Oreochromis niloticus: one gene and its partner. The protein of the gene in region 1 binds, or shares a complex with, the protein of each later gene. Links are inferred from orthologs where the notes say so. Each region holds a gene or a part of one and is shown in the gene's direction. Other genes may lie near its edges.

Region 1 (7,311 bases):
CTCCTCCAGGAAAAACAAGAGTCACAGATGGATGATGGTCCGAACAATCGGAAGAAGTTGGCGGGAGAAATTGTCTATTAAAGGAAATGTATGGCTCCAGTTTTACCCACTGTACTCAACTAATCATTTATTATTAAATAAAATTCACCTTCTCTAAACTTTAATCTGTCTAAGAAGGTTCAAAAGAAATCCCCGGAGCATTTTGAAGCAGTTAGTGCAGCTTTGCCATTGTGGAATACGGAGACGTGAAACCGTCATGAGTGTTTTCCTGTGTGGGACCGTGCGTCCCACCGTGTGTTTGCAGTTCTTGCACATATTTGCTGGTTTTGCATTTTTAACAGCCATGATTTTTTTTCCCTAATTTGACACAGAAGAGAATGTTTTTGAGAATTGTTTGCAGAAATCTGATATCAAAACAAGAATGAATTGGCATGTTTAAATCTACACGTTTTTTTTGTGTCTTCTTGTGTAGCTTTGGCCCATCTCGGTGGTCCCACTGCAGGAAGAGGGGCGTCAATGGGAGCCTGCGGAGCAACAGCGAGGCAGATGATATTGATAAAAGAAGGAACGGACACGCCGACTCCAGCTACAAACACCCTGATCGCAGACATGCTAGGTGAGAGTAAGCTCAGTTAATGTGGAAAGTGATAAATGTATATTAATGCAGGGAACTCATAACTGAAAAGCCATGAGGCGGCTGAAGCTTTGTGGATTTTTGGCATTTGTTGGGGAAATGTTTCAGTTTTAGTGTTTCAGACCCACACAGCTTTAATGGCCCTGTTCAAAGGTGCTTTGTCAAATGTAAACAGCGTGAGAATTTCATTGGTCTGTGTAGTTCACATCCAAACTCCAGTGTAGGCTCGAGAAGAAAAACAAGTTTGTTTGTTTGTTTTAAATTAAAATAAATAACACAGTGGTTGTAAAGTAATATTTGGTAAATTATTAGAATGATTTTAGTTTGAATGGTAGTGTTTTAAAAAAATCAAACTACATTATTGCTGAGTGAAGCCAGCCAGTCTCTGCTCATGAACCACTTTAAAAAAACAGCTTACTGACTCCATTACCAACATGTGGCCACAACATCTGCAGGAACTGTAGCAGTAACATCCCTGTGTGTGTGTAACCTGTGGTATTGTCCTCCTAGCTTTACTACTCCAGAGAGCACAGGTCCAGTGTCCCGCTGTGGTCAACAGGCTGACTGGGGCAGCCAGGTGGAGGACGATGAGATGAGGAGGGATGTGCACAGAGACATGCAGCGGTAATTAAACAGTTTCTACATTATTTCAGTTGTCTTTTTAAGCACCTGAAAGCAGAGACTGGCTTCCTGTTTTGGATTGCAGACTCACTGTTTGCACTGTGTTCAGTTACAGGAGGAGGATACTGGGGGCAGAATTCACCCAGAGGGAGAGAAGGGCCTCGTCTGGCTCTTCTGGAAGGTATCTCATTCTCTCACAGACCTTTCAACTCAGAATATTCATGAACTGATGGAACACTCACTTCTCAAACCACACATCCACCTGCAGCTATACAAGTGTGCAATTATTAACATTAAATAAGACGAGACAAAACGTATTCATCCCCAAAATAATGGAAACATGAAATAAAATCAACGCAGTATCACTGAACAAAGTGGCGAGTAAGGTAAAACAGATTGCACTAATGGAGCTCAGTTATATGGTAACAAAAGTAAAGTGCTCAGCATCAAAATATGATGTGATAAATATCATATCTGCTATGAGACGATGAGGGTTTTCTGTCCTTGTGACAGCGAGGCTGAAACACGACGACGTGTCAAATATGGCTTTAACTGCTGTTTCCCCAAATCCTGAACTGATCCAGTTTTGGTTTGTCAGAACTTTTCTAGTCTTACTGACATCTCAACACACTCCAGACTACTGTTACATAGTTACTGTTACGTAGTTACATTGTATTATATCATGTCATGGGCTTTGAACTCATTACTAATGTAGTTTTGTCCATTAAACAGTAACACAGGTTTGTTTAACATGACAATAACCTTTTCATTTTTCAACAACTTTGTGTTTACAATCATTTTAGAATAAAATCATTATGAAGGAAGTCGGGCTCTTTTCGTGATGAATGTTAGTTGTGCCTCTATTTTTGTATTGTGTGCATGTGAATGTGGACTAAATGTGTCTGTGCTTCAGCTGTGACTCCAGAGAGGGAGATAACTTGGAAACCGATGAAGCTGTGTTACTACGACGACAGAAACAGATCAACTATGGCAAGAACACGCTGGCCTACGACCGCTACATCAAAGAAGTTCCTAAGTAGGTCAACAGAAACGCATGCTGTGGAACATCCAGTGTAAAGCCTGTCCACTGCTTGTGTGTGTAATACACTGGTCAACGTTAATCCCCGCGTTTCTTGTTTTCAGACACATGCGTCAGCCAGGCGTTCATCCAAAAACTCCCAATAAGTTCAGGAAGTACAGTCGTCGCTCCTGGGACCAGCAGATCAAACTGTGGAAGGTCAAACTACATGCCTGGGACCCCCCTGCAGAGGAAGGCCAGGACAAGACCCTCGATGTCGTGTAAGACACTCGTACACATTCTGCACGTCGTCAGTCAGCTGAAAGCCGTCCTCATGTATGATTTCTCCTTGTCCCACCAGTGAGGAGCTCAACCTTGATGATGTAATGGACATTGAACTAGATTTCCCAACCATTACTGACTCCCAGAACAGCCAGACCTCGCTGCCGATACACAGCCTGTCAGTGGAGGTGAGTGGAAGTCATTTAGGTGCTGCTGAAATGTTGAGGCCCACACACGTGCTGACGACTGACGGACAAGTAACGATTGTAGAGTTTGTTTAAGAGGTTTTGACTAAATCTTTCTGGAACCTTGGTTTAAATATTTATTTGGTCCATTGTTTAGATGATCCATCAGTTTTTAAGAAAATAAAGATGATGATGGTGGGATTGCTTATAAACTTGGCACAAAAAGAAAGGAAACGTGTTTGCTCAGCTTTCTCTTTACTCAACTCTGCTGTTTAACCCACGAATGGATTTTTTCTTTACAAATGTGGCCCATTTAAGGGGAAACAACCAGGCTGTCCAATGGGAAGAAACACAGGTCTCCTTACTTTTTGTGCAAAGTTTAATCAACAGATGAGAAAGCCACCCTTACAAACACTGTATTAAATGATGTTGTTTGTGTTGTGTTGCTCAGGATGAAGACTGCGGTACTCCGGTCAAAGTACAAAGGACAGCAGAGCCTAATATGTCATAGCTTGTTATTGAATGGTTGAGTCTTCCCCCCGACATCGACTTCACACAGTCCACTCAGAAAAACTGCTCCAGCTGTCAGCTAAGAGTCTGTGTGGACACAGCATCACTCTGCTGTGTCTTTGGCTGGTAGTCATTGATTATACTTTAATATTGAGTTTTGTTTTCACCATATGTTTCTCCATCCACAGTTTGGGCCATTTGTTGTAGTTTATCTGTTCAGAGTATTTTATGGCAAGATTTTACATTTTTAATCAAGCATGTTTCAGAATTTGGTATGTAAAAACCCCCACTTGCTGTACCAGTGAGAGGCCTGTTGGAGTGTGCATCTAGTTTCGTGCAAATGTGAGCTTACATCTCTCATATTCTACCTGAGAAGATTCCAGATGCATAGAAACTGTCTGAACTCGGAGGGGTCGTCTTAATAGTTTAAAGGACGTGGGAAAATCGGAGACAATGATGTGTGTTGTTTTGAGTTATCCTTGAGAAATATTGGGCTGTGGCTTTTTGTTTTCTGTTCTGTTCTGTTTTGTTTTGTTTTAATACAAATGTAATTGTTTCTTACTGCTGTATCTTTAATAGAACTTGAAATAAAAAAAACAAATAAAACAAACAAGAAAAATCAATATTTCTTCTTTTTTTGTGATTTTTGGCTAAAAACTGCTGAAAACTTGGTCCACCGTTGGACAGCATGCCACAGATTTAAACAGTGACTTTGAAACCAGAGTTTCTCTCTGACACACTTCACACAGCTGATGTAGTAATTAATGGAAAATGTGTTGAATACTGTATGAACTCACACATAAACCAGTGTTGTGTGCTTGAGAGTATAGATAACCAGAACTGCCCGTCACTGGTGAGAATCTGTTTAGCTTAGTTTAGGAGAGCTGGGAAGAATAAGGATCATCTGTCTGACTTACGTCAGATGGAAGAATGACGCGAATGTAATTTAGCAACATCATAAGGGGGCGCTGTTGTGCACGCAAACGTTTAATCCACGCAAAGTACTGAGGAGAAGAAGGGTGCGCGAAAAGACGAAGAAGAGCAGCAAAGAAATAATCTGTTTCTGTGCAGGTCGATTTATTTACGAACTCAGAAACCAAAGTAGGAGAAGACCATGCTGAGAGCGTGTCTGAGAGGGGCTAATGCTACCGCCCGGGTAAGCCTTCTGTCTGCTCCCCAGCCGCGGGCTAACGTTAGCGTGTTGTCATTCAGTGACCCAGAGCCTGCCTCAAGGTGCCACAGTCAATTTTGTCGTAGACTAATTCGGGCTGTTAACTCTTCGGTGCTGTCGAGCGCTGTATTTGAAGCAATGCAGTTGGTTGTGGAAGCTGTCAAAGAGATCAGCGCAGCATGCTAATGTTAGCCGGTTTTCTTCCGGTGACAGATGGATAATGGCGTTTTAACCATAACCAAGCTAACGAGTTTGGCTAAGTTTGAGCGGAGAGGTCATCATGGCAAAAACCAAAACTTGTCTGTTCATTCTGTTTGACCTTTTATCGGCCACAGGTTTGATAACAGCTAACCGGAGCAGTATTTTAAAATGCTACTAGCGGCACTAGCATTTAAAAACGCGTTTTCACGTAGACTTTATAATGAATAAATAAACGCTGCAGGTTGTCTTCGTAAAATCCCCAAATACTAACGCATGATGTGGATTCTCGAAAACTTTGTTCTATTTCTGGGATTGAATGTGCAGCTAGACTTCTGTACAGTGACAGAAAGGTGGCTGTCACCTGTTAAAGTGGACTGGAATAAGTTTGACATCTCTGGTCTGCAGCGTCACACTGTTGCACAGATGTTTTATTACGAGGGAACCTCGGCTCTTTTCACCTGACTAAACGCACAGTAACATATTCGTTTCTGCCGGACTCACCTTGGATTTGTTTGCCATGCACCTGAATCTGTATTTACAAAATAAGAGTTCAGTTTACTGCTCAGAAATCATGCTTTGTACTTCATTTGCTGATCTGTTTTAAATGGTAAGTCAACAGTTCTGTGCTTATTTTTGTTTTGATTTCATCACGATAATTTATGTATTTTTATGATTTAACAGCAAATGAAAAACCGCGCTGAGCTTATTACTTACTGGATTTTTTTCTTATGCTATAGTTAAATGGGCAAGCTCGTGTGTCACAAGAATATCATGAAATTTAAAACTGAAATCATCAAATGCTGATTACCTGGTTGTCATCGACATGTTGACGACCGACCTGTCAGTATAGTACTGCGCAAAAGTCTCGACACCCCCCCCCCTCACCGCAGGCGTCTATCCTTCAAGCTCGGCTCCTCTGCCAGAGGCCTGATAGCTTGATGGTCCTGCGCAGTATCTTAGCTGTTCCTAGGACTGCGCTCTGCGCTGTTTCAGTCCACACCCCTGTCTGTTTCTTGACTGCCACCTTCCCACTGAAAAATGTAATTGATGAAGCTGTTCTGAAACTAACCCGTGTCCATCCAAGCAGTGTGGCATCGTCTTGACAGAGGATGAAACCTCTGTTTCTGAAAACTATTTAATGTAATTACAAGAAAACATGGCTCAGAGTGTTCAGGCTGTTTTGAAGAGTAAAGGTGTTCAGACAAAGTACTGATTTTCAGGCTTGTTAGAGTTGCACAAAGTCTGTTTTTACCTTTTGAACCGCATCTCTGCACCTAATTCCCCAACCCTTTTATCCAAGGATAATAAGGAATGATAAGGAAAACATTGGGTAGTTTGTTGCTTGCACTGGAATTTGTTGCTCTAAGGTGTCCTTGCTATAAATGTGTGTCCGTTCTGGATCTGTCTGACATGGATTTCTTTTCACTGTCACGCTTTCCTCACCACTTTCCAGAAGAACTACAGGAGAATCCCTCTTACCAGTCTGCAGCAGTGTCGGCACTACACAGCAGGAGAGAGCAGGTAACACACCAACACACACAGTACAGTATTCAACTGTCTTCTTAAGGGCTTCTCACATAGATGTGACATGTGCTGTGCTGACCACCAAATCTGTGTCCCGCTGGTCCCTGCGCTCTGGCTCCACGTCATTTCAAAACGTGGATCTCTCATCCTCAAGAGAAGATCTTTAGCGGTATCCGTAGCAGTGTGTCATTTCTACAACATTGTTTTCCTCCTGAGGTCACTATTTGGGCCTAAAGTTGTGTCATAAAGTCAGCTGAACTAGGATACACACAGAATGCTGCGTCCCGTCTCAAAGGCCGTTAGCGAGACTGTCCTGTGGCATTCATTCATGTCTGCTTGTCCTTTTTCATTCCAGTAGTGCTTCCAAAGTGGTTGTTGCTGGCTTGTTGACAGTAAGTGGTGGCATTGGAGGGACCATACTCTATGCCAAATGGGACCACAAGTTCAGAGCAGCGGTTGAGAAGAACGTCCCATACTCAGACTGGCTGCTGGGTTTGGCTTTGGGACCCCCTGCCCAAGATCCTGGCCTCCCCATAAAGAAACGGGTACGGTGCTGTCCCCAGCTCATCCTAATTATAGTTACAGGACACAAAGTTTGTTTGTATTTCACCATCAGGTAGTGGAAGAACAATCTAACATTTTTTTCTTTTACCGACTCTCCATTTGTGAGCAACTATCTGTTCTCTGATGGTTTACTGTATGTTAAAATGGCTGATCAGACTGCGTTGAAGCCCCCATACCTCCACCTCCATACCTCCACCTCCATACCTCCACCTTTCCAGTGTGTGTCTGTTAAAATTTGACTCAGAATTGAAGATATCAGCAAATAAACTTCCATACAATACAATATAAATATTTGTATAGAAAGAGTAAAAATATTTCTACAACCACACTGTAATAATGTATGCTTTGATTTAAATGGTTGCTGTTAAGGTGGAGTTGGCCCAGCCGCCCTCTATGATAGAAAAACAAGTGAAGAAGTCGGCGAAGAAGGAGGGAGCCGAGGGTCCAGTCAAAGACTCCAGCCCCGTCCCCAGTAAGCCTGCACAGAGCATAGAGGGTAAGTGTGGCACCCACTGTCATTATAACTCGTGGCTTCATGTTACCATCTGCCTTTTATCGTGTGCTTTTTCAGCTTTATTTCTATTTCTGTTTTGTTAGATTT
Region 2 (7,499 bases), on another chromosome or scaffold:
CCACGTCCCTTACACCAAAAAAAGCCAACAACTGGACAATCAGTACTTCTGACTTTGACTGGCGCCCAATCCAGAAAACACTTTCCCTCTACAGATTCTCCTGCAGGTAGTTGACCCATGGTACAAGACCATTTTGGGCTTGTTTTAGTTGAGCTCACAAGAACTTATGGCCCAGCCACCTGGTGCACACAAACAAGCTCCAGAGTGGGTTATCAACTCTTGTCATCATAATACATTAAGTTAATCTTAATTACTGTATTACCATCACTTATTTATCAGTTGCAGTAGAAAGTGTCTTTAAAAAAATGTCAATTTAATTGTAATTGGTGGGTGAAAGTATTAGGAGGTATATATGTGCACACATACAATTTGTATTTTATAGTTTGTCATCATCTGCATAAAAAAGCATAAAGTATAAAAATGCTGAAGAAGTATAAAAACAAACCTACCTAAGAGCGATGAGACAACAACCAGTGATCCTTTATTTTGCTCAAGGGAGGGCAAAGCTTTCCAGGCCATCTGAATATAGCTGAAGAAATTGACCTTCACAAACAAACATTCATGAATCAGCATAGTCTCTCCATTTCCTGTTTTGAATGACCATCAAAATGCTCTGTTACCTTCATCAGCCATTTGGTGTGATCCACATCTCCCTTCCACATGCTGAAGGGGCTAGGCCCAATGTGATTGAGGACCAGGTAATCCAAACCTCCCAGCTTCTCCAGAGCATAATCCACCACTTTGTCAGGGTCAGACTCATTCGCCATGTCTGCTGCTATATAAAAAGCTTTCTGGGCTCCTAAGCTCAGACACTTTTCTACTACCTACAGGCCAAAATCATTAAAAATGCACTTGGTTAGTTTTATGAAAGAACTAAAGAATGTCTCTATTCATGACTGGCACAAAACAACAGAAGTAAATGGCAATCTATGAGCAGAATTTCAACCAATAACCTGTTATTACGTAAACTGACCTGCTGTAAGACTTTCTCCCTCCTTGCTGTGATAACAATTTGGGCTCCAAAGCGGGCGTAATGATACGCCATTTGTTCACCAATACCTGTACTGGCCCCAGTCACCAGTACCCTAGCCCCTTTGAGAGAATCTGAAACAAAGTTTTACCGTATTCAACATGGAATGGAATTGTTTTAATACATGAAAGGTTTATAGAAACAATAAAAATATGTGTTATTTCTATTAGTCAACAATAAATAGAGTAAATGACCACAGTAACTACTGCATACATTGTTAATGTGTCTAAGCATGCAGAAAAGGTTTTTAAGTGAACTTGATGACAATGAAATAGTTTAGTTTATCTAGAATCATTCTTTAGGCAGATATATACCCTAAAAAGATAAGCTAATCTTAGTCCTCCATTAGAGCTGGGCGATATAAGATTTTTTCATATCACGATATGTTTTTTCATTTCAGGCGATAACGATATATATCACAATATAAGCCAAATAACTATATTTGTAAGATTTAAATGTGCCGTTGCTCACAAGTAAAATGTGAAATAATCACCAGCTTGTTTTGATTTAAATATTTATTTCCCATAATAAGTTCAACAGGGTAGATGTACTTAAGGAACATGAGACTTCAGTTTCAGATAAATAAAGGCAAATATTACAAACTACACAAAAGGCAGCCGCTAAAGCGTTTAAGTTTCAAAATAGAACAAACAAAACAGACTACTAAATTGTCAGTTCCACTTAGAAACAAAATATTAATTCTAAAAATAAATCTTAGTTTGTTTTACAGACGAACAGACAAAATTTACTAACTTTTGTCAATATCAAATAAACTGAGAACTAAAAGGAAATTCTCAATCTCTCCTTGTTGTATAGCTTAGCTTTTCAAACAGTTTTAACAGTTACTTTAGTCTGACAAAAGCCGAATGACGAATTAGCGCTTTCAGTCAGAGATTGAGCATGCACCGCTTTATTGTATTTCCAGACTTGCTTTCGGCACAATTTACAGTGCGTGCTACTCTGTTTTTTGTCAGACTTGAAATAGCCGAAATACCTTCACACTACGGAACTTCTGTGGCCCTTCCGTTCGACAATCTCTCCGGTATTGGAACCATCATCTGTTTTTTCTTCGGTAACCTTCGCTCACGCTCTCGGTTGATTTTTCTCTAGTCAGCAAACTCATTTCCTTCATTACCTGGGCAGCCCGGCTGCAAAAACAAATATACATGTGAGCCTTGGCACTTGTGCTGTACGTATCAAGTCACGTGACGTGACGCTGCAGCTGTGATTGGTTCGGCTCTGCGCTACTTAATTTGGATTGGCTGTTCTTTTTTTTTTTTTTAAGAGGACAAGAGAGATGAGGCCTATCGCAATAGTTTATTTTTTCTATCGAGAAAAAGTTATTTCGCAATACATATCGTTATCGTTCTATCGCCCAGCTTTATCCTCCATATATTGCTTCAGGTCAAAGGGCATTTGAAACTTTTCCATCTTGAGAAATTGCAAAATGCATACTCTTCATTTGGACTAGTAAAATGCTTGGATATTGTGTTTATTTATTTATTTCACCAGAATTTCCATGCTGTATTTTGTTTTTGAAGGTCCCATATCACTCGTTTGTTGCTTTAATTCTTTGCCTGGTGCTATGAACATTTAAATATCCTGCAGGTTTAAAAATTTTCACTCCCCATGCTGGAGAATGGAGCCATATGTCAGTACCCTTTTCCTCTCAAAGGTTTAGCTAAATGTGCAATCAACTGCATGCTCTCCCTCTCTCTCTTATTCCACTTCTTATTCCCATGAAGGGTTAGGGTTCATGAAGCAGCCATTCAAACTGCATTTTATTACTAACCAAAGCAAACACAAGGCATCTGAAACAAATCGTCCTGCGCTGTCGTACATTTGTGAAATATAGGCATTTAAAAAATGTGGTATTTCATAAGGTTACAGTGTTGCAGAGTAGAGCACATGGGATATGCAAGTATACATAACACTAGTCCACTGACATGGACCGCATAATTTCATTGCTTGTGGAAAATTGACTCTACAGTGTGTTCTCAAAATGTGAATAAATGCAGGATTCTCTCTTTGGTAAGGCCTTGGTCACAAGCGGAGAGCAGAATATCATCAATTACTCGCTCACTTTGTGCTGTTTCTACTAATTTTCTTTAACAAATCATTAAATTGTTACTATTACCTTTCCAAGTTGGCAGTAATACCCACCCACACCATAAAACTGCCTTTTATTTGTTAACAATGTGGCATGTATTAGATCACAAACCTTTTTTTTTCTAATATAAATTGTTGGCTTAATTTTTTCAGATTTTATGTATCCTTTTTTTAATAGCAAAGTCTGACCTGGCATTTTTACTCAGAATTCTGATATCTGCTGTTGTTTTTGTTGTTTTCCGGGCCTTCTGTACATTGTTTTTTTCAAGAATGTAACTGGTAATTTAAACATTCCTGTGGTTTCTGGGTTTATAGCTCATGTTTTTGCTTTTTCAGCCTTTGATTCCATCATTAATTCTTCGAAACCCATATTGAACATGCAAATTGATTTCTTGGACTCAACTTCAGACCTTTTATCTCCTTAATCTGGCTACGCCTGGCCATAAAGCCTCATATAAGTTACTGGCCCGGGTGCTTTTGAGCTTCAAAAATTAAATCAAATATTAAAAAACATCAGTTTCGGGGTTGACTGCACATGTGATAGATGTCTATTAAAAACAGACTTCATATGTATAACAAACAATGACTATATGACTATAATAATGAGGTGTTACCAGATACTAAGTTATAACTACGACATAACCGAGTAGGCTAGCTAGGATTCCTGCACATGAGTCTTCCCTTTTTCATGTGAAACCTTCATTTTTAAGTTAAGTAAAAAAGTGTGACTCTATTTAGCTGTATTTACCTAATACATTGCAAATGCATACCACGCATATGTTTGGACCACTGTAGGCCCAACACCTATCACATTATTGTCTGCTGGACAAACCTGCATGCCTGCTGCAAGTTTGCAACTAAAAACAAGCAAGTACTTTCTCACAATGACAAAGAACAGAGTTTACCGGCATCAAATCTGGGTGAAGTCCATTTGGCAGCCAGGAAAGCAACACATATACTAGCTAAAAGAACTTTTGTGACAGCGCCCATTATGACAATTTGGTAGCAGCTGAGCGAAAATGCTAAGCTTTAGAAGTTTCTGCCAACTTTCACAATCCCAGTTTGAGAAAACAAAGTGCATTTTATGCAACCCACTATTTCTCCCCTCCTTCCACTTTGTAAGGGGCGGGGGTTGGTCAGACTGGCCTGCCCTTTTTCATGGACACAAATCATTTTTTTTGTTACTTTAATGCTTTTAAAAAATCTATATATTTTTTTAATTTACCAAAGCCCCAAAATCTTTAATTTATTTGCCTATAAATTTATAGTTTAAAAAATCAAGGCTGACGAATCTGCGCCTCCGAAATTACATCCGCCCTGACTTTTGAAACAGCAACTTTATTTACACAACACTGGTGCACACGGATCATCAAGCAGGGTTGTCCTTCAGTGAAGCTAACCAGCTAGCCTGATCTACGGCTCATTGTCGGAGTTCTCGCAATAACAGCTTCTTAAAGGAGAATAGACCGCGCTGAACGATGGCGACGAGGATTTGGCCTGTTATGAAGTTAGTATTTTTATTTCAACTCCCGCGGTTTCGTATACTATCACTTGTCTAAATGCTCTTATTGATAATTAAGCTAACTTAGGCTAAGCTAGCTGTCAGTCATACCAGGTCATTTTCAGTTGTTTTCGTTTTAGCTCCAATATTAAGACTTAAAATATGCTTTTCTTTATGGAGTTTAACGTTGGGCTGATATACTAACTTTCTGCAATAACGTGAGTTAATGTGGGCAGTTGTAAATTTCCCAACTATTAACTGATAACTTAGCATCAAAGAATAATTTGTTGTTTACTTTGATAATAACTACGTGTGTCTGTAGTTTCAGTTTGCCCTGTTGGGAAATTGGGGTATTTCAGATTAACTGCATTACTGCATCTGTTCTTTCATTTCCAGACTGGCCACCAAGGTGACCATTGCAGGAGGAGCTGTCTATGTTGCCTATGACTCTGGTCTCTTGGGGAACAGTGAACAGGGCTCAGAGGCTCTGCAGAAGGCCAAAGCAGTAATCCCACCCGCCATGGAGGAATGGATGAAGTACTTTGGTGTGGAGGTACAAGATGCACGTCATAAACAACTAGGTCTTCCTGGATCAGTGCCACTAGGCCTAATACAACATAAAGTAAAATGGTTTTAAAAAGTCATTGCATTAAATAGATCAGTGCTGCAGACAGCAAATTTGATGACTCATACCATAAATGTGTAGAAATTTCTTTTTGCTTTCTAGCCTTTCTCTTATGAGATCAGAAACGCTCTAATGAATACATAGTTACAGTACAATCATGACATCATAAACCTTTGTGAGGCATGTACTTTGATTCGTGGTAATGTATGCTGCAGACCTAACTAGCTCTGGAGCAGGTTGTGGTCTGGGTTAGAGCTCATCAGGTTGAAAATATAGTCAATAGCAATTCTAACAATTCTTCAGATTCTCCTGTGTCTTAAGTCTGGTAACTGAGACTCACCAGATTTAAGACTAAGACTTTATTAAAGTAAATATCTTTTCCAGCATTACTGACCAAAGTGCTTAAAGTGCTCATGCTCATACAGCACTTTTAATACTACTGGACTGTCCGTTTCTTCCCACACACACTCACACCACTCCTTTAGCTTCAACACTGCTGTTGCTATATGCCTGTATTATTTAATCTTTTCAAATTTTTCAGATATCATAGTTGTAGCTTTGTAAGATCCACCCATGTTTCTGACTGGTCGACTGCTGCCAACATCTTGCTGAATACACTCACAGCTAGATTTTTTTAACTCTGGCTTGGCTTAGTCGATAAACACCTTTGTAATTCTGCTCATCATGGTTCTCAGTGTTATTTTAATTGAAGTCAGATAATGGAAAGATATCCAGGAAATGCTGAAATTGCTTCATAGTACAGGTCCTAGTTCTTGCTGACAAATCAGTTCAAGTGATTAAAAAAAACAAACAAACAAAACAAAGAAAAGAAGCAAGAGTATTTATCCATTTCTTACTTATGATTTTATTCACGAACTCCAACAAGCAAGTTTTCACTTGAAACAATGTACAAATGTGTCTCCTCCTCATGATTTTATTTTAAAACCTGATTTGTTTATTTATGCATTTATTTTTTTATTACTGTTTTGCACTGGACAGAATAGTAGTTGTATTGTCCAGTTATAATAAACACTAATGCAAACTAATGCACCTTATCCCTCTTGTCAGGCTCAGCTTCCAACCATACCTAAGATTGAGTTCTCTCCTGTGGACGCGTGGAATTCTGGTAAGAATTCAATTATTTGTTCCTTTTTTAAAAAAGCAAGGGTAAAAATTTACTGTGGTCACAAGTTTTGCACAGACTTTCTGTTGTGTATTTCACTTGTTACATGCAGTAATAGTTTTAAAATTGTTTGGAGGCAGTAGTTTGTTTTAAAATAATTTTGGTATTGGTATTACTTTTGGTCTAGACCCTATATTGACCCTGATTTTTCAGTATCTAAAACCCAAACTTCTCTTTTTTCTTTTGTTGCAGGCGTACGGTGGACGATTTCAAATCTCTCTGAGGCCCCGACAAAAGCCACTGAATACACAAGTCAGGGGCTGCAGTACTTGAAGGACCTCACAAAGTGAACATGAACTCTCTGGGCAGCCTCACATTATCAGTCCTTTTGACTTTTGCACTTGACATTACTTCTTCAAATGTTGAACCCTGCCATAAGAATGAAGCAACACACAACGTCAAAGAAAACTGCTTGATTAAAAGATTAAAAGCAAGGAGTGTACTCTGCTGAATGGGTACTGTGGTTTTCTAACTGATAGTGGCCTTTGGTGGGAGATGTACATAATGGGAAGAAAATTTTATTTTTAAGAAGGCAATCTTTCATTTTGTGTATACCTCAAAATTGTGTATACCAAATAGTTGCTATCAGCACTGTCCAGTAGAGAGTGTTATTCTGCCCTCACCTTGCCCAAAAAATGTTAAGAATATCTGTATGTGTGTGTATATATATATATATATATATATGCAATTTCACTATTTGTGAGCAATATATCAATCTTAAAAGATTTTGTCTCATCTTTAGTTTGATCTATCAAGTCATATAACATAAAGTGCTCGGTCGACAAAAAGACCATACAAATGTGCAAAAATCTTTATTAATCATGACAATAATAATGACACAGTTTACTGCTGATTCTGCTACAACTTGAAAAGAGGGGGAGATGACTGAAAGCGTGAGGAAGAGCACACGCAGCCATTTATGATCGGTTGACTCCACTGTACACGATGCAGACACACTCCACAGCACCGCGAGCGGTGATGTTTAGTGTCATCCTTTTCTTTTATTTAAATGTAAGAAAACATTACCCATTCTGCCACGTGTTGTCACTTC

Evidence for each region. Proteins that work in one complex are often made in the same cells at the same time.
Region 2: immt (region 1) and micos13 share a complex: the UniProt entries of both Homo sapiens proteins name them as parts of the mitochondrial contact site and cristae organizing system (MICOS) complex. The link is inferred for Oreochromis niloticus from reciprocal best matches to the Homo sapiens genes IMMT and MICOS13.

What each region holds. Positions count from the first base shown.
Region 1 is NC_031966.2:2,141,322-2,148,632, reverse strand, and holds the start of immt (MICOS complex subunit MIC60), read left to right. Parts: upstream 1-4,230; 5' UTR 4,231-4,364; coding exon 4,365-4,406; intron 4,407-6,075; coding exon 6,076-6,143; intron 6,144-6,501; coding exon 6,502-6,691; intron 6,692-7,079; coding exon 7,080-7,206; intron 7,207-7,311. Other genes in the region: slbp (histone RNA hairpin-binding protein), read left to right, coding at 473-616, 1,145-1,258, 1,365-1,436, 2,169-2,291, 2,399-2,554, 2,635-2,743, 3,192-3,251. UniProt on the Homo sapiens protein: Component of the MICOS complex, a large protein complex of the mitochondrial inner membrane that plays crucial roles in the maintenance of crista junctions, inner membrane architecture, and formation of contact sites to the outer membrane.
Region 2 is NC_031986.2:33,823,053-33,830,551, reverse strand, and holds the start of micos13 (MICOS complex subunit MIC13), read left to right. Parts: upstream 1-4,472; 5' UTR 4,473-4,617; coding exon 4,618-4,646; intron 4,647-5,036; coding exon 5,037-5,193; intron 5,194-6,333; coding exon 6,334-6,391; intron 6,392-6,640; coding exon 6,641-6,738; 3' UTR 6,739-7,499. Other genes in the region: hydroxysteroid 11-beta-dehydrogenase 1-like protein, read right to left, coding at 450-543, 621-824, 974-1,104, 4,045-4,129. UniProt on the Homo sapiens protein: Component of the MICOS complex, a large protein complex of the mitochondrial inner membrane that plays crucial roles in the maintenance of crista junctions, inner membrane architecture, and formation of contact sites to the outer membrane.